4 linked regions of the Lonchura striata genome follow. The protein of the gene in region 2 binds, or shares a complex with, the protein of the main gene of each other region. Links are inferred from orthologs where the notes say so. Each region holds a gene or a part of one and is shown on either strand. Other genes may lie near its edges. The genes, in order: USP15, SART3, CCNT1 and USP4.

The links.
Region 1: the proteins of SART3 (region 2) and USP15 are in contact, whole or in part, in a crystal structure (PDB 5JJW), measured with the Homo sapiens proteins. The link is inferred for Lonchura striata from reciprocal best matches to the Homo sapiens genes SART3 and USP15. Residues at the interface, in NP_055521.1 of Homo sapiens: Ser438, Ser439, Lys440, Glu443, Gln490, Arg493, Glu494, Trp496, Asp497, Met500, Thr501, Ala505, Trp511, Tyr514, Arg533, Cys537; in NP_001239007.1 of Homo sapiens: Ser23, Leu24, Asp48, Trp50, Gly121, Met122, Phe123, Val124, Lys125, His126, Lys128.
Region 3: SART3 (region 2) and CCNT1 share a complex: the UniProt entries of both Homo sapiens proteins name them as parts of the 7SK snRNP complex. The link is inferred for Lonchura striata from reciprocal best matches to the Homo sapiens genes SART3 and CCNT1.
Region 4: the proteins of SART3 (region 2) and USP4 are in contact, whole or in part, in a crystal structure (PDB 5CTR), measured with the Homo sapiens proteins. The link is inferred for Lonchura striata from reciprocal best matches to the Homo sapiens genes SART3 and USP4. Residues at the interface, in NP_055521.1 of Homo sapiens: Asp437, Ser438, Ser439, Lys440, Gln490, Arg493, Glu494, Trp496, Asp497, Met500, Thr501, Ala505, Trp511, Tyr514, Lys529, Arg533, Cys537; in NP_003354.2 of Homo sapiens: Met24, Thr27, Leu28, Ser53, Trp54, Glu123, Gly125, Leu126, Phe127, Val128, Lys129, His130, Cys131, Lys132.

The regions. Positions count from the first base shown.
Region 1 is NC_134607.1:42,076,340-42,083,303, reverse strand, and holds the start of USP15 (ubiquitin carboxyl-terminal hydrolase 15), read right to left. Parts: upstream 3,010-6,964; 5' UTR 2,926-3,009; coding exon 2,837-2,925; intron 1-2,836. UniProt on the Homo sapiens protein: Hydrolase that removes conjugated ubiquitin from target proteins and regulates various pathways such as the TGF-beta receptor signaling, NF-kappa-B and RNF41/NRDP1-PRKN pathways.
Region 2 is NC_134620.1:11,419,839-11,427,465, reverse strand, and holds the start of SART3 (spliceosome associated factor 3, U4/U6 recycling protein), read right to left. Parts: upstream 3,019-7,627; 5' UTR 2,972-3,018; coding exon 2,804-2,971; intron 1,710-2,803; coding exon 1,583-1,709; intron 943-1,582; coding exon 838-942; intron 1-837. Other genes in the region: iron-sulfur cluster assembly enzyme ISCU, read left to right, coding at 3,548-3,631, 3,706-3,819, 4,023-4,133, 4,725-4,803, 5,170-5,264. UniProt on the Homo sapiens protein: U6 snRNP-binding protein that functions as a recycling factor of the splicing machinery. Promotes the initial reassembly of U4 and U6 snRNPs following their ejection from the spliceosome during its maturation.
Region 3 is NC_134629.1:6,118,681-6,125,576, reverse strand, and holds the start of CCNT1 (cyclin-T1), read right to left. Parts: upstream 3,013-6,896; 5' UTR 3,003-3,012; coding exon 2,827-3,002; intron 1,797-2,826; coding exon 1,715-1,796; intron 1,467-1,714; coding exon 1,338-1,466; intron 570-1,337; coding exon 509-569; intron 1-508. Other genes in the region: ADCY6 (adenylate cyclase type 6), read right to left, coding at 4,428-4,556, 4,644-4,768, 5,286-5,490, 6,166-6,429. UniProt on the Homo sapiens protein: Regulatory subunit of the cyclin-dependent kinase pair (CDK9/cyclin-T1) complex, also called positive transcription elongation factor B (P-TEFb), which facilitates the transition from abortive to productive elongation by phosphorylating the CTD (C-terminal domain) of the large subunit of RNA polymerase II (RNA Pol II).
Region 4 is NC_134614.1:10,434,043-10,441,943, forward strand, and holds the start of USP4 (ubiquitin carboxyl-terminal hydrolase 4), read left to right. Parts: upstream 1-4,896; 5' UTR 4,897-4,991; intron 4,992-5,108; 5' UTR 5,109-5,172; coding exon 5,173-5,266; intron 5,267-5,503; coding exon 5,504-5,634; intron 5,635-7,901.

The sequences.
Region 1 (6,964 bases), on a different chromosome or scaffold from region 2:
ATTATACTGTGCCTAAAAATCTGATGAACATCAACAGCTCTTCAAGTTGAGAGCAGAAGACATCTAGTGAGTTCAAATTTGCCTGCAGCTATAACAACCAATATTTTTTGTCATTCTAAATGAGAAGATAAAATCTCCTCAGACAATAAATTCTCCTCACTTGTCAAGCACCAGTAGAATTTCAAAATACTGAGATGTAATTGTATCAGATCCTAAAACTGTGAGACATACAATGAAATGCAGCATTTTGTCTTTTCTTAAAACAAAAGAATCACAGAACCTGAAGATCCTTTGGACAATATTGTAAGAAGTAAAAATTATATTACTTCAAGTTCTGTAGAACAAAACTGTAGTTTTCATACTGACTTTACTAACAAAAGTAGACAACATTATTCAAAAGAACTGATGAACAAAGGAAAAATCTGAAAAATCTGATGTTTATTTAATGTATGTTTGGAAAAGTAGGCTAAATGGAGAGATAGAAGAATCCTCAAACTCTTAGAATTTAATAATTTATTAACTGGCCATAAAGAATGCAAAAAAGACCACTGGGACAAACTAGCCCAAAATCTTGCCCCTGAAGCTGAAGCAGTTAAAAGACACTAACCTTGTCTGTCCACTGAAGCAATACAGCTTAATGCATACTATTCCCAAGCTACCCTTAAAAACATCTAATGTAACAAACTCCACAGCTTACTAAACCACCTGCTCAACTGGTTTCTAGCTCTAGCAATTCTTCCTCCAATATCTAACTCTAAAAATGTTGCATTTCAACTCAAATTTATCTCTTTGTCTCTGCAATGTACATGAAGAACTTTACAAGGAAATTTATCAGCTACTTCACAGATGCTTCTAAGATTTACCTCTCTTTAGCCCTATTCTTTAGCTGCTTTTTTCTTAAGAGAAAACCCCCAAAGCTTTATACTTTCCATATGTAGCTTTTTGTTCTCCCCATTCTAAATTCTGAAGAGCATGGAAAAGACTTTCCATGTACAAACCAGCATTTTAAAAGGACTGCATTTGAGTGTTTTAAAGCACAAACAGAACAAGCTGGTATAGCACTCCTGAAATTTTTTTCAGCGGTATTTACTACTAAATCAATGCAATTTTGAACCATGATTTACAGCACCTTAACTGTTGTTTCCTTACTGATGTCCCAAAAGATCAAAAAGCCATTTACAAAACACCTCTATAAAAGCATTGGGACTAAACCTACCATTTAATTTGTAAAGATAGCTGCACAGTCAAAATATAAATCCTACGAATGCACAAGCATAAACGTTTATGTAGCTCGATTTAACAGTTCAAGAGTAAAACTTAATGGGACTCTGCTGCAGCTTATTCAGCTTTGAAACACTTGACTTATATCAGTGTCAATCACAGCTAGATATACTTCCACAGAACATTTAGAAGCTTTTCCCACATAACTGATTCTTCTATATTAAAATATCAATACTAAAAAAAGTAAACGGCACAGTAAACTTACTGTTTCGGTCATGCTGTCAACTAGTCATAAAAATACTATCACTTTGAAGAGTATTAATTGCTTGAAACATTGTTTTAGTAACTGGGAATTACCTAATAGAACCCTAAAAAAATAGTCTTGAAAGACATCAAGCCTGAGCACGCTTTTACTACTGCTGGTCATTTTCAACAATACTATGTGAATTCATTTCCTTTTACTAGCTTTTTTTTCCAGTTTCAAGAGCAGTGTGCTCCTATGCCAAAACTGAACATATACTCAGCAGTATTTGAATAATGCATCAGAATTTATGCTTCTGACACACGCTGCAGTATCAACACTGTTAAATATAGTCTTTTATAGAACTGGAACAGTGAGTGATGACAGCTGAAATGAGGCGGGCTAGTTCTACTTCTGTGTATTCATAGTTAATTTTCTGTAAGTTAATGCTTCAACCTTTGTCTTTGGGTGATAGTTTCACACAGGATGTGATGAAGAGATTGAGTCGTGGAAAAAGTGTCAGTTCCTTATTTTCTCCCCTCCTAAAAAAAAAGCCCCATTTCCTAACCTCATAGAACTACAACTATAGAAGCCCAATTACCAAATACACGCCAAAAAGAGGTGCTTATTTTACGGTGGATTATTCTGTTGACAATCTGTATGACATACTAAGGAATATTTCAAGACTGACCAGAAAAACATATTTTTCAAACGTTCGTTGTTGAAAAGGTATCATAAGGGTCCGTTTGCACCCTCAGGGACTCTTTCTTAGGAAATGAACACGATTCCAGTCACAGTAAAATTTAAACTCAAGGCTTGTCACAGCCACGGACGGGCACAAGGCACCTAGGCCAAAGCAAAGATATTTCTGATAACGTGAAGGTGAAGCCGGGGCCATTTCAGCCTGGATAATGGAAGAAGCGCCTGCTAGCAGAGCTCTTCTCCCCCACCTCAATACTCCTCGCGCAGCCAAAACAAGCCCCGTGCGGGCTCCGGGCCCGCCATCCGGGGCTGCCACCCGGCAGCGCGCCCCGGCAGCCGCGCCGCTCCCTCCCTGCCCTCCGCTCGGGGCGCTGACCTCGGTGCCTGCCCGCCGCCCGGGCCAGGCCGAGGCCCCGCCGCACCCAGGCGGCCGCTCCCGCCTGGCAGGAGCTGCGGGAACCGAGCGGCGGGCAGCGGCGGTACCGCTCTGCCTCCCTGCCCCTGCCGCCCGCCTCCTCTGCCGCGGCAGCGGCACAGACGCCGAGCCGCCCCCGGGAGCGCCTGGGGGGGGGCGAGGGGAAGGAGGTCGGTCCCTCCGGCAGCCAAGCGGTCCCGGGGGCGGAGGGACGCCGCCCGCGCCGGTCCGCCCGAGCCCCCCCGCTCCTCCCTCACCAGGTGTCGCCCTTGCGGAGGGCGGTTTTGAGCAGCGCCGCGACGTCCGTGCGCTGGGTCTCCAGATCCGCCGCACCTCCCTCCGCCATCTTCTCCGCCCGGCAGCGGCAGCGGCGGCAGGGGCAGGAGCGCGCCGCGCTGCATGCTGGGAGTGACGCCTGCAGGGACCGGCCGCGGCCCCGCCCTTCCCAGAAGCCGCGGGGCGGGGGCCGGAGCGGGCCCGGGCGGGGCAGCGCCCCCTCGCGGCCGGGAGGTCTCACGTCCCGCCCCCGGTCCCGTCCCCCCCAGCCCGGGAGGGACGGGCGGGCGGCATTTCCCTCAGCGCCTTAATTGGAGCGCTGGGTGCGCAACTAGGTCCCTTGCGCCTCGCTGCCGGATGAGTGGTTTGGGTCAGCGTAAATCATATGCTGATACCTCTGTGCTGTTGTGCAAATGCAGTGGCGGGTTCAAATCGTCTGTGTGACTCGTATTAGCTTTTCCAGACCTTCGCACAAACCAAGGGATAATTTCTTTGTTTGTTTCAGTCGCTCTTGCCGGAACCTTGTACAAACAGCGCAACCTGTTGCTTGGCGTTTCACACACACGCCAAAAAAAAAAAAAAAAAAAAAAAAAAAGGCCACATATCCACATATTACGTTACATAACCAGGTTCTCTCTGTCTTCCCGTTTGTATAGAGATTTCAAAGACTCAAAATGGTGTGGGAATTTAGGGCTGGGGTGCTGGTTACAAACACCTGGATACGAGAGTTTGTTCTTTTAGATCTAGCTAGTGAAAGTGCAATTCCCGCAGCTGGATACCTGCGGCCTTTCCTGTGCCCAAGTCTTTACAGCCAGCCGCATTGTGTGACGAACACCAGCACCGTACCTCAGGCTGCCAGTTAATGCATTAGGCATTATTAGCTAATTAGCACATAGTAGCATGCAGCTGTTACAAGCAGCACTAAAAGGTGCTATTTAGATATGTGCACTGCAAAACAAATAGAAAGCTGTTACGCAGACATGGTAGTACAAAGCTAAGTAAGTTTTATTAGGATTATCCGTGAGGATGATGATATGGAAATAAAGGCAAAATTATAATACGAAAATCATACTGAATATATAAGAACTCCCAGGAGTTCAGAGCGACTGGCAATAACATTCATGGCTTCTCCAGGAGCTGGAATGTGAAATACCGAAGGAGGAGGAGGGGGAAGGAAGTAAAACATAAATGTTAGGGAAAGGTGTGGATCTAATGACTACATTTAATGAAAGAAAACTTAACTGAACAACAAGAAGGTTTCCAGCCACTTCAGGAATAAATTTCTTGGTTATAATCTCCAAGTTTAGAAACAACTTTGACAAGTTCCCACCCCACGCCAGGGTTTAACAGGTAAGAATAGTGTTTTACACTCTGAAAGTTATCTGTGTTCCAAAATTGAATTTATACAGAAATTATATTTTCATGGAAATTTGGGTAAATATTTCTCAATTCACGGTGCTGGAAAACATCTTCATTGTTCATCAGGGTGTAGCAGGACCATCAACAGTTTAATTTGCCTGAAGGTTCACCTAGAGCCACCCATGCGTCTGTGCATTGTGTTGCAGAACTGCAGTTACTCAGTAAAAGATCTCAGATTCCTGAGTTCAATCTATTTGTGGTACAGAAACGGATACTAGACAGGTATTAGGTGCTACAAATAGGGACAGCAAAGCATACCATATACCATTTGAAGCAGTGCTTTAAGAATTGCCAAGGAGAGACAAGAGTAAGACTCTTTCTAGGATTACCAGTGCTTCATGTGAAACAATTCTTTTTCATAATTGAACAGTATCTGAAACTTAACTCACATTCTTGGAAAATAAATGTTAGTATTAAATCTGGGGTTTTTTTTAAAGCTTTTATCAGTGGGCAAGGAATTATTTCCAAGTCCTAGACAGTGCCTGAGAATCTTTAAATTTTAAACCACCTAGTAAATAGAAACAGCACTGCAACTTGTGATGAATGACCTACCTTCTCTAATAAAACCCAGGCATTTTTAATACAGATTTATATCTTACTGCTTGTGATAGAAGTGAATGCAGAATATTGTAAAGCTAGCTGAGGTGGCACGCCTTCCAGCTATCAGTAGGCCTTCCACCTTGCCTGACTTCCTTGCTAATGGATGAATTTTTGTAAACATGGTTTTTGTGGCTCTAAACCTTGATCTTAAAAAAGGATGCAATTAATACAGTGTATAGCAGCACAGATTCAGCAAGTGGGCTGCAGATAACAAAATGTCTAAACTGATGATTCTATTGATTCCCAATACAACATGAAGTTTAAACTCTCAGTTCTTGTTTTCAAGTAAATTAGAGGACTTGGCTAACAAATCTTAGAATATGGCTTGGTTTTTGGCGATGTGAGAAGCTCTGCATCTCAATAGTAGAAACTTCTGTACACAATAAATTCTGTAAAAATAACAGACAGCTGCAAGTCTCATTCACAGCTTAATACAGAATAATTCACTTCACCACTTTTTATTTACTTTCAAAACCACTGCCATAGTTTAAGCATGGTACTCCTAAGTTTAGTGCTCCCACTGTGACTCCAAACCACATGCTGCTCACTTGCTCTCCCTTCCACTCCCCCATCTCTCCTGCAGCGTGACTGGAAAGAAGAATTGGAAGCCCAAAAGGTGAAGATCATGGTTGAGGTAAGAACAATTTACTGGAAACAGCAATGAGCTAAGAAAATGGACAGTAACAGCAATAGTGTTAATAACAGAAGTGTTCAAAAGAGAGAGAGTGACTCACATGCAAAACTGCTGACCATGAGCTTGACCTGGCCACAGCCACACCACCACTACCACTCCAGCTCAGAGCCAGCGCCACACGACTGCTCCCTCTGCCTCCCTGAGCTGGCCAGACCTGATACTCCTTGTCCCAGGAAGAGGTTTCCTTTCCCCACCACTGGCAAGGATGTGAGGTGGCAGTGTATAAACCCTGTGTCCTGGCCATGCCCCTCCCTGCTGTAAGATGAACCCAGTCCTGGTGAGAACTGGGACAACCACCTACACCACATTTGGGAATTTGTGGAGGAGGAAATGAGAGCTTCAGATTCCCCTCCCCTGTGGTCTGTGTTGAGCTTACAGCTACTGGTAGCTGTGTGAGTTTCCTTTTCAGTTGGAAGCTGCATCAGACACAGAGTTTGACATACTAGAATAGATACGATGAGTGTATTTTCAATGCAGTGTTCACACATACCATTAGGAAAACATAGATAATTTGACTTTTGGTTGAGAAATCTGAATGGAAACCTTCATAGAGCTAATTTAATTAGCTGAATATATTTTTGTGGATTCAAAGTGGAGCAAAAAGTCAACTACTAGTGCCACCACCTGCTGGTTTTGTTCCCTATCCGTTTTTTTTTCCTATATGGAAGTTGGTAATTTTTAAATAGTGATGGAATTTCAAGCCTCCTTTAAACAGTTCAATTAAACACCCAAGAAAGCAGAAATAACTGTAGACTAAAGTTAAACAAGACAAAGCAGGGCTTCTGTAAGGTAAACATGAGGGGATGTCGCTATAGGACACGTGAAAGCACGACGCGAGCCACCTGCTATTTGCAAGGTAAAGAAGAAAGTTTATTCTCCGACTCCGACTTTTATATTTTCCCAAAGGTGACATTGGATTGGAGACTGAATGGGCCACCTCTCCAAAGACATTGGACAAACCACTAGTACATCAAGTTTCTCCATCCCCATCAAAGAATGTAAACGATATGTTGTTTACAGAAATTGTGTGGGAAAGTTCTCCAACAGAATGTAAACTAAGAAGGCTTTAGAAAGTCTTAAGAATCAGGGTGACATGGGAAGATACAGGAACAAAAATGCAGTAGGTAACAAAATTAGGGGTGCCCAAGAAAGCATGAGTTGAATGATGGAAAGAAGCAAATAACAATATACACTTCTTAAAGAGAAGAAAAATGCAGTATAAATTTGACAGTCTCATAGATGGAGAAATAGCATGTAGTTAAGATACCCATTTCTGCCCCAGACATAAAACTATGACTGCACTGTAGGTTTGAATCCTGTTTCTAATCCAGTCTGTGCCTCACCTACCTCATTCACAGAGGCTGAACGCAGCCATAAACTCCTGTTTCAGACAGGT
Region 2 (7,627 bases):
GTTAAAATATTTGGGGATTGTATTTATGCTGCTGGTTCAGCAGCAGCAGCCCCAGTTTCCTTCTGAATGGTGTCACTCCTGTGGTTTTGCTGACAGGGACTGGCCCTGCCTGTCACCTCTGCCACACAAACCACAGTAGGGATGCACCAAGATGCCTGAACAGCAAATTCCTGTTTCCTGAGCTGGGACCACAGAGCTGTCACACTCTGGAATAATTCAGATTAAAGCAGCTCCTCCTACTCCTCTTTCCAAACTCCTGAACTTCCCTGATCAGCAACTCCTGAAGCAGCTGAGTCCTGCAGGTGAAGGAGAGGTGGGAGAACAGCACTGAGTGCCTGGCACCATTCCCACCAACTCCAAATTCCATTTTGGGACCCCCAGGTTGGGACTGCCCTGGGTTCCAGAAGTGCCTCCAAACCCCAGATGAAGTCCAGCAGATCCAGAGGATAATTCCTCACTTCTTCACCTCCATTCCTTCCTCCTCAGGGATCACCAATACCAGGTAATGTCACTGATGTGACATTCCGTACGCAACTTTTGGGGGGGATTTACCTCCGTATTCCCTCCACTTCTTCAGGCTTCATTTTTCCAGCTCTTTACCCCAATTCCCAAAGAGCTCAGGGATTTATCCCCAAAATTTTAAGCTACAGCATCTCCTGAGAAATAGAGAGACCAGACATCACATCCTTCCTTTGCATCACTCCACATTCAGAGTTTAGAAATTAATTTGAAATTTTGACCCAATTTCTTTGTTACAACAGAAGCAATAGATTTCCCTACAAAACCAAATCTGGATGCAACAAAACCCATTTTAAAACATTTTTTTTGATGACTTACAGATGTAATCTTTGACAGCTCTTTCAAACAGCTCATAAACCTTCTCTCTCTCAGAGATCTCTGAAGCCATTTTTATCTCATCCTTCAGCCAGTCCAGCCAAATTTCTGGAAGGAAAAAAAAATTAAAGAAGATCATTAATATTCAGAAATAACACGTTATACCCACTTGATGAGTTTTTAGCAAAACAATTAAAACAAAGGAGGGGAAGTAAGGCAAAGAGAGGAATTTTAGCCTCCACAATTCCAAATTAATTTCAGATAAAAGGCAGAAAGCTTTTAAATTGGTGCTGAACAAGCACATTTTTACTAAAGAGAAAAGCTGGAATTTCTCAGGACTTAGAAAATCATCCCATTCCATCCCCTGCCATGGGCAGTGACAACTTCCACTATCCCAGGGTTGATCCAAGCCCTGTCCAGCCTGGCCTGGGACATTTCCAGAGATCCAAGAACAGCCACAACTTCTCCAAGCAACTTCTGCCAGGGCCTCCCCATCCCTTTCCAAGAATAAAACCCCACAGCCCCTGCAATAAAACAAAAATCCCCACTTCAAGCACCCGCAATTTCCACCAGCAGGGAATTTTCTTTGCTGCCTGCCTAAGAAATTTTGACCAGGAGTTTGCTGAGCTCTGGATCACATCCCCCTGGAGCGAGGGTGCTGAAAATTTGGCTTGAATATTTTATTTCACTGCTGAAGCATCTTGCACGGGTGATGCTTCACCTGCAGGGAGCAGAGGATGCTCTGTACCTTCAGTGAGGGGGAAGAGCTCGCTCATCTTCTGCCGAGCTCTGCGCAGCTTCACCAGCTCTCCCTCCTGCCGGAGCAGCTTGATCAGATCCAAGTGACAGTTGTAGTCAAAAGCATTGATGGAAAGCTTTAACAAACAACAACAAAAAATTTAAAAGCCCTGTTGAGTGATGGACGTGAAAAAGTCAGAAAATAAATCACACAATTCTCGTGGTGTGATCACAGAGCCAGGCAAGGCAGAGTTCCTCATGTGAAAAATGCACATTTTATGATTGGCTTTTCGCAAATGCTACAATGAATATTATACGTGTAACGTCAGAAAGTTATGCTGTATTAATTCTATTAATTCTCTTAAGTAGTGTGTTAAATGTAGCTTTAAGTTACAACATAAATTCTGCGATGTAGGACTTGTTACAAGCTCAAGCAGGAAGATGAGATAATCAAGAAATTCTTCACACGGAGATGTCAGTGAAGAGGGCCCATAAAAAGATACAGCCTCCTTAACAGAAAAAACAAACATTCTTCCACCTTCTCTCCGTCTTTGTGGAACCAACAGGATTAAGGAGAAGTTGACAAAAACCAAAAGAGTTCGTAATTTGCAAGGAATTTATGCATCATGTATGAGAAATATGAATACACAACAGGCTGTTGCTTTTAAGGTTATTCCTTTGTTCACAAGGGATGCTTTTCGTGACTTAGTGACCGAGAGCATCTGGATGTCCGTAATTCTTTGCTTTTTATTGTCTTGCAATTGTCCTAACTCTAAACTTTATTACTCTAATTGTATTACTATTTTCATAAACATTTTATTATTATTAAACTTTCAAAACTTTAAAATTGGCGTTTTTCACACTCAGATTTAACCTAACCCCAGACATAGCCCCGGCCGCTCCCTCGGCCACTGCTCAAAGAGAGAATTGCGCTTTCATTTCTTTAAAGGCAATAAAAAAACGCGGGCAGCCGGCTCACATTTCTGAATGAACACGAACTGCCTACTCCACTTCCCTCTTATTTCCCTTCCAAAAAAAAAAAAAAAAAGAAGAATCTCAAGCTGCTCAACTCCCATCTAGGACTCCAGACATTCACGGCGTTAAATCACCGGATATCCCGACCTGGAAGAAACCCACAAGGAGCAGAAAAATTCACACCCTGACACCAAACCGCCCGGGCGGACACGGATTATCCCCGTTCCCGCCACACCCGCTGCCCCGCCGGGCCCACCTGCTCCTCCAGCCGCTGGATCTCGGCCTCGTTCTCCTTCTCCTCATCCTCGCCGTCCCCAGACGAGTCCGAGTCGCCCTCATCATCCGAGTCCCCGCCCGACTCGGGGTCTCCCTCCGGCAGCCGCTTCTCCTCCTCGGCCGCCGCCTCAGCTCCCGCCGCCGCCATCTTATGCAGCTCCGCTCGCCGCCCGCCGCGCTCCGCCGCCCGCCGCGGCTGCCCCCGCGCCGCCCGTCCCGCAGTTCCGCCCCACCGCCGGCCGAACCGGGCGGGAAGAACCGGGATCCTCAGCCCGACACCAGCCCCGCACTGGCCCGCGCACCGGGGCAGCGCTGCGCCGAGTGCGGCCACGGCTCGACCCTTTGTCTTCTGCTCCGCGGCGCAGGCAGCACCGCGGGCACCCCGCTGTGTGGCCATCAGGGGGCCTCCGGGAGGGTCCGTGGCGTGCGCGGCGCGGCCGGCCCGCCATGTTGAGTGTGGCGCCGCGTGCGCACAGCCGCCGCCGTCTGTCGCGATGGGAACCCTGGCGCGACTGCAACGCCGTTTCTGTCGTTTATTTATTGACTGATCACCTTAGCCACAGCGCGGCCGCCAGCGCTCCCGCCGCCTGCGTGGCCAACGCATGACCGGGGGGAGACGCGAGCTCCGGAGGCGAGGGGGCGTGGCCTGGGCGAGACCTGAGGGCGTGGCCAGCCCGCCCGAGGTTATAAAAGGGCGGCGCCACCGCCCCGCCCCTCAGTGAAGATGGCGGCGCTGAGGGCGGCGGGAGCGGCGCTGCTGCGGCCCCGGCCCGGGCCGGCCCCGGCCGCGCTGGGCTACCACAAGAAGGTGAGGGGCGAGCGTGACACGGGGAGGGATGGGGGAAGCGCGGGGCGAGCCTGTCTGACGCTGTGTCTTTGCAGGTGGTGGATCACTACGAGAACCCGCGCAACGTCGGCTCCCTCGACAGCAATGCCAAGAACGTGGGCACCGGCCTGGTGGGCGCCCCGGCCTGCGGCGACGTCATGAAGCTACAGGTGACCTTGGGGACCCGGTGGCACCTGGGTGGGGTCACATGGGGCTGTTTCGAGGGTCAGAGCTCCCCTCAGGGGACAGCACGGGCTTCCCTCATGCCCACCCTGTGCCCGGGGCAGGGCCAGCCCCGCTCCCCGCGGGCCCGGCTGGGAACACCTGGCTGAGCTGAACCGGGCACTGACTTGTCCCCAAAACGCTCCCGCAGGTGGAAGTGGACGAGAATGGCAAGATCGTGGATGCCCGCTTCAAAACCTTCGGCTGCGGCTCAGCCATCGCCTCCAGCTCGCTGGCCACGGAGTGGGTCAAAGGGAAAACGGTGAGGGAGCTCCGGGAAAGCTGCAGAGCTTCCCACGTGCTGTGTTTTCTGTTGGGATCATGTAGGAAGTGCTCTCCAGGGAATCCCTGCATTACTCTGTGCTGTAGAAGTGACTGCCAGCACTGTCAGGGCTTCACTTGTAGGGCAATAATTGTCTTTTTCAACAACCATCAGAGAACCATTAAGGTTGGAAAAGCCCTCTATAGCAACATCAAGTCCAACCTTTCCCCAGCAGCTCCACTCCTGAGCACGTGCCCAAGTAAACAATTCCACCAGGAAATTATCTTCTGTCTTATGCAATGAGCAAAACCAGGCTGATGGCAGAAATTTTAGTTACGGAGAACCTTTAGATCATTTCTGCCAGCAGTAAATGCACCTCAGTGTTTTGGTAGAGGATGAACAGACTTGAAACAGGCCAAGTGGGGACAGTGTGTGACACTGATATGTCAGTCAGACATTCCTTAATTCCCACATCCCTCACTGCCCTGGGCAGCTGAGCTGATGTCCCCTGTGGATTCTGCTGGCTCTGGAGCATTAAACCTTCTTAGCAAACACAAACAAGGCCCATGACCACCTCTGCCTGTGTTTCAGGTTGATGAAGCGCTGAAAATCAAGAACACAGATATTGCCAAGGAACTCTGCCTTCCCCCTGTCAAACTGCACTGCTCCAGTAAGTAAAAACCCTGGATCTCAGATACTCTGGAAATAGCACAGATGCTTCTGGATGCTGTTTTCCAAACAGTTTCTGCACAACGTTGTCCTTAAGAGAAAACATGTTCAGATTTCAGCGTTAATTCAAGAATTTTCAGATCACTTTGATATATTGGAGTCTGTGGTTCAGCAGACTGATAATAAACAATCAGATTCTGAATTACACTATTGAAATTGGAGGAATTCAGTATTTTAGGAATTCCATTCAGATTCTACTCCTCAAATCAGCCTGTGCTGCTGGTCTTGCCTGCTTTTGTTTCTACTTCATCTTTTGTTTTAAAAGCTTTTGAGTTCTCCTTAAAATCCTTTTTTTTTTGCTTTGCAGTGCTGGCTGAAGACGCCATCAAGGCTGCCTTGGCCGATTACAAACTGAAGCAGGATCCAAACAGAGAATCCGACAAAAAAGCCGACAATGCCTGAACCGCCTGCGCAGCTTCCCCTCCTCCCTCCTCACTCTGCAGTGCAATTCCCGAGCTGTTGTAGGACCCTGTGCACTACTCAAGCTGTAAGATACGCACAAGTTACGCACAACGTGTCCCTGTGGTGTCCAGCCACCCCGTAGTGCTCACATGGATGGGGGCTCCCATCCCGTTGGGAATGCCGCGGGAAGACTCCGCTCCGGAGACAAAACCCCGCTGTCCGGTACTGGAAGGGCTGCACTTTCAATTTTTGTTTTGGGAAGATGTTTAGTTTTGCCTAATATTTGATGGAATTTAGTGGGAAGCGTTGCCCTGGTCTGGATGTGTGTGTGAGAGCTGTGTGGCCGCCCCTGGCTCCGGCTGTGTCAGGGTTGGTTTCGCAATCCGGGGGCAAATTCCTGCTCTTGGAATTCTGGGAACCTTTGCAGGTGCCAAAGGGAAAAGTGACCAGGAGACACTGGTGGTCTCTGCTCCCATCCTGTCGCCACTTAATTTTTGAAGCTCTTGTTTGAGGAACTGAGCCTGAATTTTGGGGTGTTTTCTCTTAAGAATTTCACTTCTTCACTCACTCTTACAGCTGTAAACCCTTGGCTAGAGGAAGGTGTCCCTGCCCAAGGAAGGGGTTTGCAACTGGATGACCTTTAAGATCCCTTCCTACCCAAACCACTCCAAGATTCTCTAAGGAGACTGGAAGCTCGGTGGGGAATAGCAGAGCTGGAATGCAGAGCTGATGGGGAGCTCCCAGAGTTCCTCTTTTCTGGAGGAGTATTTCCAAACCAAGCAGACAACACATTGGCAGACTTCACTTTTTAACCTTCTAACCCACAACAAGACACCTCACTTCCCATTTTTCATGCCGAGGGTGTTGTTAAACATTTAAAACCACACTTTAAAAAAAAAAAAGTCTCATTCTGCTCTGTCTGGGCACAATATTTGTAATTTTTAACACAGAGGTCACACATTGCTGTATGTCATTCACAAGGTCCCTCTTGTGATTCCTCAGCTGGCACCCTCCAGCAGCGAGGAATGTGCCTCTCCCTCATGGAACAATCCTGCTATTGCCCAGTTAAAAACAAAATCAGGGAAACTTCACACATTCACGTCTGCTTTGGGGCAAAACCCGCTCTTTGTGCTGGCACTCTCTTCCCAAGGGAAGGTTGTCCTGAGGCAAGGACATAATGGGATAAAACCCAGGGATACAGGAGGTTCAGGGATACAGGGACGTGCTGCTTTTGAGGCAGCACAGCTTCACTCACCTTGCAGGTCTCCCTGCTGTTCCCACTGCAGCAGCTGCACCCCAGGGCCACGGCTGAGTCCCCACAGCCCCTCCTCAGCCCACAGCTGTGGGTGCGAGATAAAGGTTTCCTGGAAGGGCACGTGATGTGCTGATGTGGGGACTGATAACACCCTGCCCAGGGCTCCAGTGCCCCTGGAGTGCAATCCAGCTGTGCCCCTGGAGGAGCACAAGGACACAGGGACGGTCCCCTGGCCACCCCACGGCTGCAGAGACACACAGGAGAGGAGCTGTGCGGAGGAAATGTTTATTTCTAGCTGAAAGGTTCAGGAAGTGAGGCAAAAATCCAGCTGGGCTCTGGGGTGGAAAGAAGGGTCCTTGTCCTAAATCCTCATCCCTCTTTCCCTTGGGTGGCCATGGGCAAAGCTGACCCATGTCCTACAGACCCCCAGCCCTGGTCCCATCCCTTCTCCCAGAGGGACTCGGCTCCCAGCCAGGAGCCTGGCATGGACCAGGCTGTTGCTGCTGATTGAAATAACATTTGGGAGGAAGCTGGTGGCACAGTGGGGGCAGAGCTGCAGCTGGGGGGATGCACACACCCCCAGTGCCTGGGGTGGGAGAAGCCCCTTGGGCAGCAGGAGCTGGGGCTGATGGCGTTCCAGTGCTGGGGAAAACCACCAGCTGGCAAATCCCCCCCCACGAGCATCCCATCAGCACCAGGGTCGGGGGAGCTGGGAGGGAATGGGATCTTCATCGGGGCTTCCTTGAGCCACCACGTACGTACGGAGCCTGACCCACCGTGTCCATCATGAGTCCCAAGCCAGCAGCTCCTCAGGCTTGCCCGGGACTGTGTCCCTGCCTCAGATTCCAGAGGGAGCCTGGCAGCCATCCTGGGATGCATCAGGCATCTCCTTGCTTCCTGCGCTCGCCACTTCCTCCACGCCTGGACTTTGAGCAGGGGGCTTGGCTTGCTCATCCCCCAACTTCTTCCCTTCCTCCTCTTCCTCCTTCTCCTCCTCCTGAGGGGAATTCTGTTCGGCCTGGGCCCCGTTGGCCAGCGGTGCCTTGTGGGGGGATTTGAGGTTCTGGGCAGCAGCCAGGATGTCCGCCTGGAGCTGCCGGCCGCTGTC
Region 3 (6,896 bases), on a different chromosome or scaffold from region 2:
GTGGAGACTCCTACTTCCAGAAACACCCAGAAAATGCTCCTGGTTTCTTGAGTTCTGGGGACTTTCCCCCAATGAATTATTTGATCAAAATATTCACTTCTAACCCAATTTTTTAAGACATCTCTCAGTACAAACTGCTTCCTGCAACAGAACTGGAGCATTATGGCCTGGAACTGGATGGTCTTTAAAGTCCCTTCAAACCCAAACCATTCCATGATTCTATGATTGAGCTGGAAAGCACAACCCAGGACAAGGGCCAGTGTCCAAAGCAGCACAAATCCTGGTTTTTTTAGGGGAAAAAAAAAAATCAAAGTGACAAACCACACTTAAATCTCTCAGCACTGAGCCTGGCACAAGTTACACCTGAAAAATTGATGTTAAAACAGGAGTCGAGCTGAAAAACGGGGTTTGCTGTGTGGACTCTGTGGAAGGGGTGAGGCTCTCCAGCCTGTGGAATTCTCCTGGCTCTGGGATTGGTGTGGCAGTCCGGCCGCTTCGAGGAACTTACCCAGGGTCTGTAGGATTATGCTCTCTAGAATGACCAGGTCTTGGGCTTGTTGCAGGTAAGCCTGGGGTTGAGAGGACAGGCAGGTTACTCATGGAGAGGCACTCGGATCAAGCCTGCACATTCCTAACACCCTTCTCTCCAGGGCAAAAATGGGAATCTCCCTGCACGGGGGGACTGGCACAGATTCCCTGGAAATGTTTGAGGCCAGGCTGGATGGAGCTCAGAGCAAGCTGGGCGAGTGGAAAATGACCCTGCCCGTGGCAGGTGGGTGGAATGGGATGGGATTTAAGGTCCTTCCAACCCAAACCATCTGGAGATTCTAAGACAGAGGGATCAGAGTGTTTGGGTGGGCCCTGGGTGCTGGTCCCCCACACTCCTAGGGTAGCACACGAGCAGTGCAGGAATCACCCGCTTTTCCTGCTGTTTTTTAATTTTCTGTAGGATTCCCTGGAAAAAGCTGCCCCTTCCAGCAGGACTCGCTGCTCAGCTGCAAGTAAAAGGGGCTGTCTGAAGAGATGAGGGCTCAGCAACGTTTTTAACCCACTGAGACAGATGCTGGGACAAACTGCTCCCACAGTGGAGCTCCTCTGCTCCACACCCTCCTGGGCAGTGCTCCAGGGACACAGGCAAACAGCACATCTGCATCCAGGTGTGCAGCAGAGAAGAGGCTTTGCACACAAGGGGGGAAGCCCAAATCTCTCTGCTGCAGGAGAAGCTGGATGGAGAAGCTGCCCCTGAGCACCCCGGGAGGGTGGATCCCAGGTGCCATTCCTGCTCCTCGGGCCTCCAGCGCTTACAGCACACCCTGAGGCTCCCTCCCCACATTTACCTCACTCTTGGTGTCCAGCAGAGGCTCCTGGGGGTGCAGACAGGCATGTGCCACCTTGATGACGTGCTCCAGCTTCCGAGGCTGCTCTTCCACCTTGGCTGCCAGGAAAAGCGCTGCTGGCACCACCGACTGTGGAGGAAAACACTCTGTTTGCTTAAAAAGCCACTAAATTCAAGATTAAAACAAACAAACCAGGTGGATTCTCAATATTCCTTCAGGGAATGAAGGCTGTTCAAATCTGGCCACCACCAGGAGAGACAAAAGGGTCCCTCTCCCTTCCCAAACCTCTTCCCAAGGTGGGTCCCCCTCCCAGGCAGCAGCAGGAGTGGGTCTGGGGGTTCCCAGCACCCCACCGCACCCCAAATCCCAGCACTTACATTCCTGTGGAACTGGGTGAAGGACTGCACCATGTAGAAGCGGTGCATGTACACGATGGCTGTGTTGATGGTGAGCTGGGAGCTGGGAACGGGGTTAAGGAAAGGCACAGAGACCCCCAGACAGGCCCAGGGGAGCCACTGGGACAGACCCCACATGCCAACAGCACCAGGACAGGACAGGCCCTCCCTGCACCCCAGCACAGCTCTCCTCAAGCCCAAAACAGGCTCACCGCGCTCCACAACCCAGCTGAGCCTTCACAACATGCCAGGAGAGCTCTCGCTGCTCCCAAAATGGGATCTCCTCGACCCCAAACAGGCTCTGCTCTCCCTGCTCCCCAGACGAGCCTTCCTGACAACCTGGCACGGCTCTCCTTGGTCCCAAAATCCTTTTTGGGATCTCCTTGGTCCTAAAACAGGCTCGGCTTTCCTGGCCACTTGTGGGACGAGCATTCACAACACCCCAGCACAGCTTTTCCCACTCCCTCGTTTTGGGATTTCCTCAATCCTAAAAGAGGCTAGGCTCTCCCCACTCCTAGGCCGGGGCTTCCCGACTCACCAGCACAGCTTTCCCTGCCCGTGAAACGGGATCTCCACCACCTCGAAACGGGCTCGACTCTCCCCGCTCCCAGAATCTCCTCGATCCCAACGCGGGCACGGCTCACCCGGACGGGCCTGCCGCTCCCTTCCAAGCACCCCGGCACAGCTCTCCCCTCTCCCGGGCCGGCCAGGCCTGCCCGAGCCTCTCCAACACGCCAGCACAGCTTTCCCTGCGCCCGAAACGCCATTTCCCGAGCCAAAAACGGGAAAAGCGGCTTTTCCCCGCCCCGAGAGCCGGGCCGGGCCTTCCCGACACCCCAGCAGCGATCTCCCCGAGCCGGGGCCGCGCTCTCCTCGATCCTCACAAGACCCGGCCCTCCCCTCACCCCCTCCCGGCTCCCTCCACTCCCGGGTCTCTCCTCACCCCCTCCCGGCTCTCCCTCACTCCCTCCCGGCTCTTCCCACTCCCGGTTCTCCCCTCACCCCCTCCCGGCTCTCCCTCACTCCCTCCCGTCTCTCCCCGCCCCGCCCCGCTCCCACCCGCGGCCTAGCGCGGCCTAGCGCGGGCCGGATACACGTTGAGGCGCTGCCCCATGTCTTGCAGCAGGTTGGCCGCCTGCTGCCGGTACGAGAGCTCCTTGTCGGGGTCGAGGCCGGCGCGGCGGGATGGGCTCCGCTCCAGCTGCTCGCGGCTGAAGTACCAGCGCCGCCCGGGCCCGGCGCCGCCGCCGCCGCCCGCCGAGGCCTCCATGGCGGCTCTGCGCCCGCGCGGGGGACGCGGCGTGCGCACGCAGCGCGGCGACGCGATGACGTCAAGCGGCGGGTGGGCGGGCGCGGGGGGGAGCCGTTGGCGGCGCGAGCGTTCCAAAGCAGGGAGGGACGTTGGAGGGGCGGGGCCTGAGAGAGCCCACGCCCCTCATTGGTTGACCACGCCCCTCGCGGAATGGTCACGCCCCTCACGGCTGGCCCCGCCCCGCCCCGCCGCGCTTCCCCTCACGCCGTGAGGGGCTCCGGTTTTTCGGGGGGTCCCGCAACGCCCCCGCACCTTAGGGCGGCCCCTGTGGCCCCACCGCCAGCTCCTCGGCTCCCTCTTCTACGCACTGACACCCGAGGAACCCCGGCATACCGGTGTGGCACTCCACCCTCCTCACCGGCACCTCAATGGACCCCTCCGGTATGTCCCCCCCACCCCCGCCACTCCCCCGGGATCACGGAGCAGCGGGATCCCCCCACCCCTCCAAGATCCGGTTTTCCCGGGGTCCCGCAGCCCCCCGCACCCCAAGACGTTGCCTGTACTCCCCCCTCAACCGATTTTCCACCCTCTTTCCCTTGCCGGGACCCTCCCCTCCCCACCGGGACTCCGCTGTGTCGCCCACCGGGACCCCTCCTCACTGGGTCTCGGTGTTTTCCCCTCTTAGGATCCCGGGCCCCCTCCCAACCGGCAGCCCCGTGTGCCCCCCTGCCCCACAAGCCAGGCCACAGCTCGTATCCAAAGTGTTTTATATATAATTTATCTGTACACACGAAGGACAAAGTACCTCAGGTCTGTGCTGGGATGAGGGGGCGAGTGCTCCCCCCACTCCCCCCGGGCTGAGCCCCCCCCCCAACCCCAAAACTGCTTCAAAAAAAAAAAAAAAAAAAAGAAAAAAAGTCACTTCATTAGGGTTTTTTTTTTTTTTTGCATTTAAAAGGGGGAGGGTCTTCCACCCTCCCCCCCCTCCCCGCCACAGTCCCCCCGGAGGGAGCTGGGACCCCCGGGGGGTGAGGGGGCTGCGGAGATGCTGGGCCTGCGCCTCCCCACCCCCGCAGGCGGCACTTCAATTTGGCACATGGAGGGGGCTGGGGACCCCCTGCCCCCAAAACCCCCGCAGTCCCTTTTCTGGGGGGCCCCATCTCCCCTCTTTGGCACATGTGGGGTTTCTGCAAAGGGATGGGGGTTACCGTGACCCCCACCCACAAAAAACACCCCGGTGCAGGGCTGGGAAACACCCCCTAAAACAGCCACAGAGGGGGGCACAGGGTTACTTCCCCACGCCCCCCAACCACCTCCTTGTGTCCATTTCTCCCTTTTTTTTTTTAAATATGTGTATTTGGGGATTTTTCCTTTTTTTTTTCGCCTGAGCTCGGCACAGGCTGGGGGTGTCCCCGGCATGGGGGGGACACCATGGGGACCCCCCTAACTACCCCCAGGGCCCGCATTGAGGAAGTAGGTGGTCATCTCCCCCTTGCCCTTGACCTTGACCAGCCCCCGGCACTCCAACACGTAGCCCTTGGCAGCCAGCACCTGGTACAAGTCTGTTGTCACCTGGAGGGGGGACACAGGGGTAAAGGGGGAGACCTGGAGGGGGGGTCTCTGGGCAGGTGTCCTGTGTCCCTCCCACCCCTGACTCACCTGGATGCGGTCGGGGACCCCAGTGCTGTCCATGCGGCTCGAGACGTTGACGGTGTTGCCCCAAATGTCGTACTGGGGCTTGCGAGCCCCGATGACCCCTGCGACCACTGGGCCCATGTTCAGGCCTGGGGGTACATGGTTGAGAGTCAGGGATGAACCCCCCACACTTGGGGAAGAGGGAAGGGGAAAAGAGGAGTGAGGGGGTGAGTTTGGAAAAGGAGAGAGTGACATGGAAAAGAGGAATGTGGAGGGGGAAAAGAGGAGGTGATGGGGAAAGGGGAGATGAGAGGGGAAAAGGGTGAAAGAGAGGTGAGGGGGGCAAAAGAAGGGGTGGTGGGTGAAATTGGAAAAGGAGGGAGAGATTGGAAGGAGGGGTGAGGGGAAAGGGCAGGTGAGAGGGGAAGATGGGGTGAGGGAGGGAACAGGGGGTACAAGAGGGGAAAAAGGACAGGAGGGGAGAAAAGGGGGTGCAAAAAGAAAAGGGGTGTGAGAGAGGAAAATGGGGTATGAAAGAGAAAAAGAAGAGGTGATTGGGAGAGAGGAAAAAAGGGGTGCAAGAGCCGCCAGCACAAAGCCATGAACAACAGTGTGGGATGGCTGGAGGTGCAGAGGGGCGTGTGCAAGGGGTGTGCAAGGGCTCACCAATCTTCATCTGGAAGTTGTTGAAGGAGTGCTCGTTGATGTACTTCATCTGCTCCATGAGGTGCATGGCGTAGTCGGCCAGTGCCGCGATGTGGCTCCGGCCCTCGCGGTCGTAGGTGGCCGCGTTGAGCCCCGATGCCGCCATGTAGGTGCTGCCAATGGTCTTGATCTTCTCCAGCTGCCGGTACTTCTGCTCGCTGATGATCTGGGAGGACAGGCTGGGCTCACCCCCGCAGCACCTCAACAGGGTACCCCAACCCCGTCCCATGGCTCCGTGAATGCTGTTCCGTGGGTTTTCCAGCACCTCCTGCACCCTGCACTGCGGCTCCACAAATGCTGCTCCACAGCCTCTCCAGCACCCCATGACATCCCCTGCCTCCTCCATGGTGCTCCACAGCCCCTCCAGCACCCCCTGCACACCATCTCCTGCGCCCTGTCCAAATATGGTGCTCTGCAGGCTCTCTATATCTTGTGCATCCCATCTGCACCTCATTCATGGTGCTCCACAGCCTCTCCTGCACCCCATGCACTCCATCTCCTGCACCCTTTCCCCAAATCTGCTGTTGCACAGCCTCTCCAACACCCCATCTTCCTGTACTTCATCCTTGTGCACTCTATCCACAGTGCTCTACAGCCTCTGCATCCATTCCTGTGGCTCCATGAAAGCTGCTCCATGCCTTCTCCAAGGATGACATACATCCTGTACCTCATCCCCACTGCTCCACTGCCTTTCCAGCACCCTGTGACCACATTCCCTGGACCACAGCCTCATCCCTGCTGCCCCACAGCCTCTCCAGCACCACACGAACCCTGCCCACTGCACCCCACCCCTGTGCACTTCACCCCTATGCACCCCCTTGCCCCTTCTCTGCCCCAGCACCTCATCGAAGTCGGCGATGATCTCGTTGAGCAGCCGCAGACACTCCACACCCTCGTTGTTGGCTTCCAGCTCCACATAGAACTCAGAGAAGTTGCTGATGGAGGCGAACATGACGGCCACGCACTCGCAGGACTGGTAGTAGAGTTCGTCGTTGCGCCGCTCCCGTGCCAGAAAGTGCGCGGCCACGTCCTTGGGCAGGATGTTGTGCAGCAGCCGCCGGTTGTAGGCCTGGAGCTCCTCCATCTCCTCTTTCTCACCCGTTGCCTGTGGGCACACACCCAGCTGGGAGCTGCCACAGGACCCCACAGCTGCCCCAGCAGCACAGTGTGGGGTGGGGGTTGGTCCCAGCCCCATGGTCACCCCAGTGCTGGCATGCAAGGAAAGGGTTGCTCCCAGCCCTGTGGCCACCTTCAAGTCAGGGTGTGGGGACGGGGTTGGTCCTGGCCCTGGACTGGTCCCTGTCCCATGACTGCCCCAGTTCTGGGGGGCAGGGAAGGGTCAGTTTTGGTCTCAGGATGGAAGGAAGGGCTTGGTTCCAGCCCCACAGCCATCCTAATCCCAGGGAGTAGGGGAAGAGACAGTTCCCATCCCATGGTCACCCCAATCCCAGGGAGTAGGATCAGTCCCAGAACCACAACGGTTCAGGGAGGGGAGTCAATCTTGTCTGAGTATGGGAAGGCCCATTATCACCCCAGTCCTGGGGTGCAGGGAGGGGGTCAGTCCCAGTCTCA
Region 4 (7,901 bases), on a different chromosome or scaffold from region 2:
CCATCAAGATCCAGGACGACATTGAGTTGCTTCTGCAGAAGGTTGCCTAGAAAGTTGTGTGCCTTTTGTCCTTGCTGTGCACCTGGTTGTTTTTCTTTCAGGGAGCTGCTGCTTTGGCAGAAATCCCAATGTCTCGTGCAGATTTTGCTTGTGATGGTGCATCTTCCAAATCCTTGAAGTGTGCTTGATGTTCTCAAAAGTTGCACGGGAATGTTTGGGAAGGTATGTCAGGGCAAGCAGCTGTGGGTCTCAGTAGTTCACTGTGATTCTCTGAATAAAAAAATGTGTACTTTCTTTAAGACTGTGACTTGATATATCTGGGTGAGTTGGGTAAAACGTGGTGGGTCTGTTACCTGTTCCTCAGCCCATGTGGGTGCTCACAGGGGCAGACTTGGAGCACTCGAGCATGGCTGTGCAGTCAGGCTGAACTAAACCGAGGGCATGAGCTCTGCAAGCTGAATCAGTACCGTGTCCTGCCCCATGTGTAACAAGCCTGGCAGAGCAGGAGGGTGGCAGGAACAAACAGACCTTGCCCCACTGCTCACTGGACCTCCCATAAGGCTTCCACACAGAGGGAGCACGCTGGCACGTGGCCAGGGGTTGATTTTACACTGGCTGAATTCCAGTGTGGCTATCAACAGGCCACAACAGGATAATAACTGCTAGGGCAGGGAGATGAGCGATTCTGCAGCTTGGGGGGACCCAGACCAGGAGCAGCACCCACTGTCCCTCCCCTTGTCCCAGAGCCACTGCCCCCTCACTGGCTTTACCCCATTTTGCACCAGTGGTGGCCCACCACAGATTCTCACATGCCTGCCCAGTCCTCCATGAGGCCTGAAGCACCTTTGTGCATCCCCAGCACCTCACGATGCATGGAATCATGTGACAAACCAGTTTGTCCATGTTCCCAGTGCAATACCACCCCATTCAACACTTGGCCCATGGGAACTGTGCCTTGCCTCAGAGTGTCCTTGTTTCCCTTTGGGCAGGGGAATTGTATATGACACTCCCTAGTGCAAATGTGCCAGGAAATATTTCCTTTTTCTTTTCATTTCTTCCATAACAGTTTTTGAACTCCTGCCAACCATGGAGCTGAGAAGTACTTCATGAGAAATTGCTACAATTATACCAAATGATCTTGGAGGTCTTTCCTAATCTTAATGATTCTATGATTCAGTAATTCTGACATATTGGCCCTGCTCAGCAATCATGGTTTTACAGGCTGCTGTTAAATGACTGGAATTATGATTAGTTTCCCATGGGAAATCATGAGACTGTGCCAAATTTCACCTGCCATCCTGCCCAGTCACTCAACTGTTTCTACAGGAAAATTTTCACTCCTTCAATTGCTCTGTGAGCACATTTTCATTGCAAGCCACTCCTCACAAGGCCTTGTAGCACTGCATATAAACTTGGTGTGGGACTGAGGAGTCCTAACCCAGACTAAAAACTTGGGCTGTCCAAGGGAAGGCATAACACTTTCAAGCATTCATGCACTGTTTTCATAATAAAAACACTCAGGATTTGAGGGTTTGCTTGGTTTTTTGTGTTTTGTTTTGTTTCTTTTTTTCTTGTTTGTAGCTTTTCACTTCACAAATTCACAGTGGCTTTGTTACTGTACCTATATCCAAGGATCCCTTAAGGTTGAACAGAGACTGGGTAAACCTTCCAACCAGCACCACCCTGCTTGCTGCTACCCCCTGAGTCATTGAGCTTTGAACTGAGATTGCACAATCCTCACCGGGGGATTTCTAAAATTCCAGAACAGCTTCACAGAAAAAAACAGGATGTTTTCAGCAGCTACTGAAGCTTTGCAGCAGATGATGCATGATGTAGGGGATTATTTTTTCAGTTAGTTCTACTTCCCTCATTAAAGCAGGATGTTGAAATAGGTGGAGAGTACAGGGGATCATGAGCAGAAGAAACCTAGGGCACTGAAAATCTTTCTTAACGTGAGCTGTGGTACTTCCTCATTCCTGACTCACCAAGCCTGAGTGTTTGAGTGGGGCCTCCTCTGTTCCTAACCAGCCTCTGGCTCTGGCCAAGGCCCACAGCTACAGGGAGCAGAGCCCAACACCTGCTGCAGCTCCATTATGCCAAAAAAGGTCTCTCAGCAAGCCTGCTGGTCAGAAAGAAACCTTGCACCATGCTAATTCTGTGCCTATGGCCAAGGGATTTCTTTACCTCTGACTGCTGGGACCGTGCTAGCAGCATACCAAAGCAATAGGTCAAGAACAGTCCCAGCTATGCCAGAAGCAGTACAGTGACATGATTTCAGGACAAAAGTGAACCATGCCAGCAGGAAAATGAACAATCCCAGTGTAGGCACACCAGCAGGAACTCTGCAGCGTGGCTGAAAGCTGCCCAGCCTTGTTATTCCCAGTCTCATTTCAGCATTCCCTGGAGCAGCTGGCTCTGGGGTCCAGTGGGCTGCAGCAGAAGGCACTGGCTGGAGCTTCCTGGCAGTGACAAGGACAGTGGAGCACGGTCGCCACACAGGGTCTCACACCCAAACCTTGGCTGGTGTTGTGCTGAGAGGAGGTGAACATTTCACCACAGGCAGCAGCTCTGTGCTGAGGGGAGGCATGAAGAATCCCAGGCAATTCCTCAGGGATTATAAATCAACCCATTTTTATTTCTGTAATTCCAGAGAGAAACAGACTGACTCAGAGGGCAGCCTTAAAATAAATACTACTTTAGCACAATTGGCTGCTTCTGTGGCATGAGGATGTTGTCCTTTCAACATCTCCCGTCTGTCACATACACACTCCTACATTACACTTTAATTGCAAACACTTAATCCCTCTGTTAGTCTTCCTGTTTTTCCATTCTTCTGCACATCAAAGTTTCATACATTCTCTCCTTCCTAGAAAGTGTTTGTCCCCTACTTGTCCCTCCTCCCAGTGATTCTTTCTCCCATTAGCTGTTGATAGTTGCCACCAACTTCTTAAATACTTCAACAAGTTCAAATATTTGAAGCTGTCAGGAGTGTTAACTAGTTCCAAGAAAAATTATCCTTCCTGGTCCTTTCCCCGTCTCCCAGATTCCCTAGTGTTCTGCCCACCAAACCCTGGGCTATCTGCTGAAATCCTGGCTGATGAGAAGTGTCTACTCAACAGAAGTGCCATCAGTCTGAGTCTGAGATCTTTCTTCTTCAGCCTGTACAACGTTCTTTCAGCTATTTAAATTCCCTTTCTCCTGGGCAGCTTTCAGTCACTGTGCTTGATCATTGCCATCATAAGGCAGGCTGGGAACACCTGCCTCCAGTCCTGTGGTACTTGAGGGAGTTTTGCTTCTGTCAGTGCCACTTTCACACCCAACAGAATGAGCTGGAGATCAGGGCAGAAGTCAAGGGCTGAAAGTGCTTGAGGAGCCAGGAGAACACAGACACCTCTGTCTACAATAAAACTGGAACAATGTAATTTTCTTGCACTGAATCAGAAAGGCCTGAATTAAACAATTTAATTGTTTACCACACTTTCTATGAGGAGTCAGAAATTCATTAGCAGAGTGAGGTCAGCCACACAAGCACTATCTCAGAATAGCTGACTCATTTTAAAAACACACCCAGCCTTGCCATAATAGGGTGTGTTAGAGCCCCAAGGGGCCCTGCCCTCGGAGAAAAACTACAGTAACAACACTCAACTCATACTGGAAGGAGAAAATGGTCCTTTCAGTGTTAACTGAATGGACTTGCCCTGCTGTCAGGAAGATAAAAGGCCTTTATCACATTACCCTGGTTGCTGCAGCAGCGCCAGGCTGGCAGAGCCCACCTGCCCATGGTGCTGCCAGAACGCTCCTGGCACAGGCAGTCACAGCTCCCCCACATCACCCCTGCCTTTTTTACACATAAAGGGATTTCTTTGGTATGTTATGGACAAATTCAATTGGGGAGGCCAATTATAGATAAATCAATTAATGAGAATTGTTAACAAGAATTAAGTTAACAAGAATTAAGCAAGCGGCATCACAGCACCCCCACATGACCCCTGCCCTTTTTACACATAAAGTAAAGGGATTTCTTTGGTACATCCATTTAAGGCAAATTGTTTTTTAATTCTTCCCAAGACCCCTCCCTCTCAAGGACAGGCTCCCTGACAGCACAGGACATGCTGCTCGAGGGATCAATGCCAGTATCTCCTGGAGCAGTTCTCTCCTGAGACACCACCCAAACCCCTGTGCACAGTCGCTCATACACACCCGTTCTCCCGTTCATTCCTGTAACGATTTGAAGTCCAAGGCCTTCGTCAGTGTGCTCCACGTGAGAAAATGGAGCGTCTAAAACTGAAACCACAGTCCAACCAAATGGTTCTGCCACCTGTTTTGTCCGAGAGAGAAAAATACAATTTTTTTGAAGAATTAAACGTTTCAGTGTGGGTTCGATCTTCACTGAGCCATAATTCAGGGAGGAGATTCTTGCTGAGAAAGTGAAGTACACAGTGTCTGAAGCCCAGAGCAGCGGGCTGGCAGCAGCCACCCAGGGCAGGTTTGGGGAGGGCTGGGCTGGTGCTGCTGCAGAGGCGGAAGGGAGCGAAGCGTTCCCAGAAATGCTTTTAGCTGAGGATTTAAAGAGGCTGGCCCGGACGCCCTCTCGACTACGAAGCCCCCTTGGGACGAGGTCCATGCCCGCGGGGGGAGTGCCCCGCTCCCCGGGCTCCCCCTGCAGGCCCGTAGGGACGCTCAGCGCAGCGGGCGCCCCACGCCCTGAGCGCCCTCACGGTGCCGCCGCAAGATGGCGGCCGCCGCCATAGCGCGCGCGGCCCCGCCCACCTCGTCACGGCGCGCGCGCGGGCGGGGCGGGCCCCTCTCACTCGCCCGGCGCGTGCCCGCCCGCGCGCTCGCGCGCGCTCCGACCTCCGCCCGCGCCGGGTCTCGCGCACGGACATGGCGGCGGCCGCGGCCGGCGGGGAGCGGGCCCGGCCGGACCCGGCGGAGCAGCGGGCCGAGCTGGGGCCGCTCCTGGCCACGGCCCTCCGGCCCGGCGAGTCCTGGTGAGCTCACCCGCGCCTCCCCTCCCTCCCCGTCCCCCTCCCCTGCGGGCGGCGGGGCCTGCGGGCCGGGCCGCGCCGCCGCTGAGGGGCCGCGCCGGGCGGTGCCGTGTGTTGCAGGTACCTGGTGGAGAGCCGGTGGTTCAAGCAGTGGAAGAAGTATGTGGGCTTCGACAACTGGGACATGTTCGGCGCCGGCGATCCCAACCTCTTCCCGGGTCCCGTCGACAACGCTGGCTTATTCCCGGGGCCCATCGACAACTCGGGCCTGTTCGGCGGTGAGTGCTCGGGCAACGGGCCGGGCCCGGCTCGGCCGCGGAACTTCCCCGCGCTGCTTTCGGTTTCGGGCGCTGCAGGGGACAGGCGGCCGCGCCGCCCCGAACGCGGGGGGACTGGCCGGGCTCTGCCTCCCTTGGAGCGCTGGCGTTCCTTGGTTCCTGGCAGTGCATGTGTGAGTCTGGAGAGGAAAAGGTGATGTTTGATGCCCTGCTCTCTGCCGTCTGTCTCCTTTTTAGATCCACAAACTCAGAGTTTGAAAGAACACCTAATTGATGAGCTGGATTACGTGCTGGTGCCCACCGAAGCCTGGAACAAACTAGTAGCGTGGTATGGCTGTATAGACGGCCAGCAGCCTATTGTGAGGAAAGTAAGTACTGCTGAATCAACTTCTCCTCCTCTTGGTTTCGTTTTTTGATCTCCCTTGAGCTTAAACGATTTATTTCGCCAAATATCAGCTAAGATGGGATTCTCACTAGCTCTTTGGAGATAATAAAGTGATATCTTTTTGCCTTGTCTGAAAGAACAATTTGCCTGTATTTCAGCCAAAATGCTTGAATATTCAGGGGTTCTGAGTTGATGGTTTATTTGGGGAAAGAACGCTGAACCTTGTTCAGGTTATGAGTCTTTGGACTAATACGGTGCTTTTATATTGCATGGAATAGTTTGTACTTTGTGAACAAGTGTAAGTTGTTGGTCAAACTAGTTTATCTTCCAGGACGGAATGAGTCTTCGAGTACAGATGAATTTAGGGGCTTCCTCTGGAGTGTAAGGTGATTTTTGTTTTCTCTTCCAAAATTGTGTGATTCTAAAATCTTTATAAAGAGATGGATATATGGTTTTGTTCTGTAAGTCATATTTTGGTTGATAAACATAGTCAGATATGCATTCTGAATACATAACCTGTTCTGCAGGGTGAAATTGGCAAGTGTTTGTTTTTGGTTTTTTTCTTGGTTGGTTGGTTTTTTGGAATGTGTATAGGTAAAAGTTTTTTTGCTTTTATTTTAATTTTAGCCAATTGTACTGACTAAATTGAGCAATGCCAGTCTGTGGGATTCATTAAAAAACTAATCACTACCCCAAGTGTTGTTATAATGTACAGGATTAACATCACTTATGTTTAAGCAGCACTATGTTATAAGTAAGGATTACTTCAAGGTGTGCAAGACCTAGCAAAGTGTGGCATCAGAAGGGAAGTAAAATCAGGAAGTGCTGGAACGTTGTCATTCAGTGTGGGCTATAAACTGTGTGTTGTAAGAAATTCTGATGTCTTCAGGACTGGTGAGTTAACCCAGGATCACCAGGTTACCTCAGGTTGACTCAGTAGACAGAACTCCCATGGAAGCAGGAACTAGGAGAGGAGAAAACAATTATAGCATGTAAAGGAGATGTGGTTTTAGAGAAACAGGTAACATCTTGAGGAATTGCAAGTCTGTGTTGAGAGGGAGAACTGGTACTGCTAGTGATCAGTGCCTCTCCAAGTGAGGGAGCTTTCCTTGGTGAGCTGGCTGATTGCTTTCATGAAACCTGGCACACTCCCTCTGAAAATTTGAAAGTTGACAAGAGACTTGGGAGCTATCAGGGAAACACTTGGGCTTAACTGCGTGAGCCTTCTTTGTTGTGATATCTGATGCTGCTTTCAGTGGTGCAGTGACCAAGGGGGTAGAGCTCAGACCTTGTGCTGGTTTACAGACCTAACGTGCCAGACTATTCTGGGTCTAGTTAAGAGTAAATTTTTCAAATTTTGAATTGTTGTGAAACTGTCAGTCTCTGCTGTTAACCTGGTAACTGTATGGGGTTTTTATATGTAAGAAGATGCTAAAATATAGCAGAATAGTAGGTTTGTGGGATGTTACAGCCTCTTGCAAAAATCCAGTAGGTCAGTGAGACACAGAAGCTGCACTGCTGCACCTGAGTAGGATGTGGGCAGGATCTGGTTACGGTGTTCCCCAGATAGCATTAGAAGTCAAGCACTTAAACTTGTGGTCCTTGAGTGCTTTAAGATTTTCCTAAAGCTGCATCAGCTGTAATTCATGTATTAAAATATCCATAAAAGTAGGATCTGGGAAACGATTTTCAGGCATCTTTATGGTTTTATAAGATATTTCTTCCATCCCTATGTTTGATGATCAGAGGCAAGTACAGGAGGATTAGACTAGATTTATTTGTGGTTCAGGTTTCTTTTGACAGTCTCAAACCATATTTTTGGGCAGTCATCTATAGAGTCCTATGGGAAGGTTTATTATGTGCTTCCTTAGCAGCAGAGTTGTGCTGAGATTGCTGTCCAGTGGCATGACATGAGTTATACTTTGGCAGAGAACAAGGAAGCTGGTCAGATGCAGTTTAAAAGACATCTGCAGGTGATTAGAGACTCCTTTCCTCTGTCCTAATGGACACAATGATCTGATCAGGAACTTCTTGGAAAGAGTTCTTTTTATTTCTGAACATGGCTCTTGTTTGTTTCTAACTACAGAATACTGGAGAACAGGAAGTCAAGTTTAGTGACATTTATTCTGAAAAATGAAAGGAAAACTTTTGTCTTGGTTTCTTTTCTTAAAAAGAAGTCTGCTCGTCAAGAAGCTGTTTAAACAGGGGGCTTTACTTTCTGTTGTAATAGCAAAGTACTGAAGATCTTTC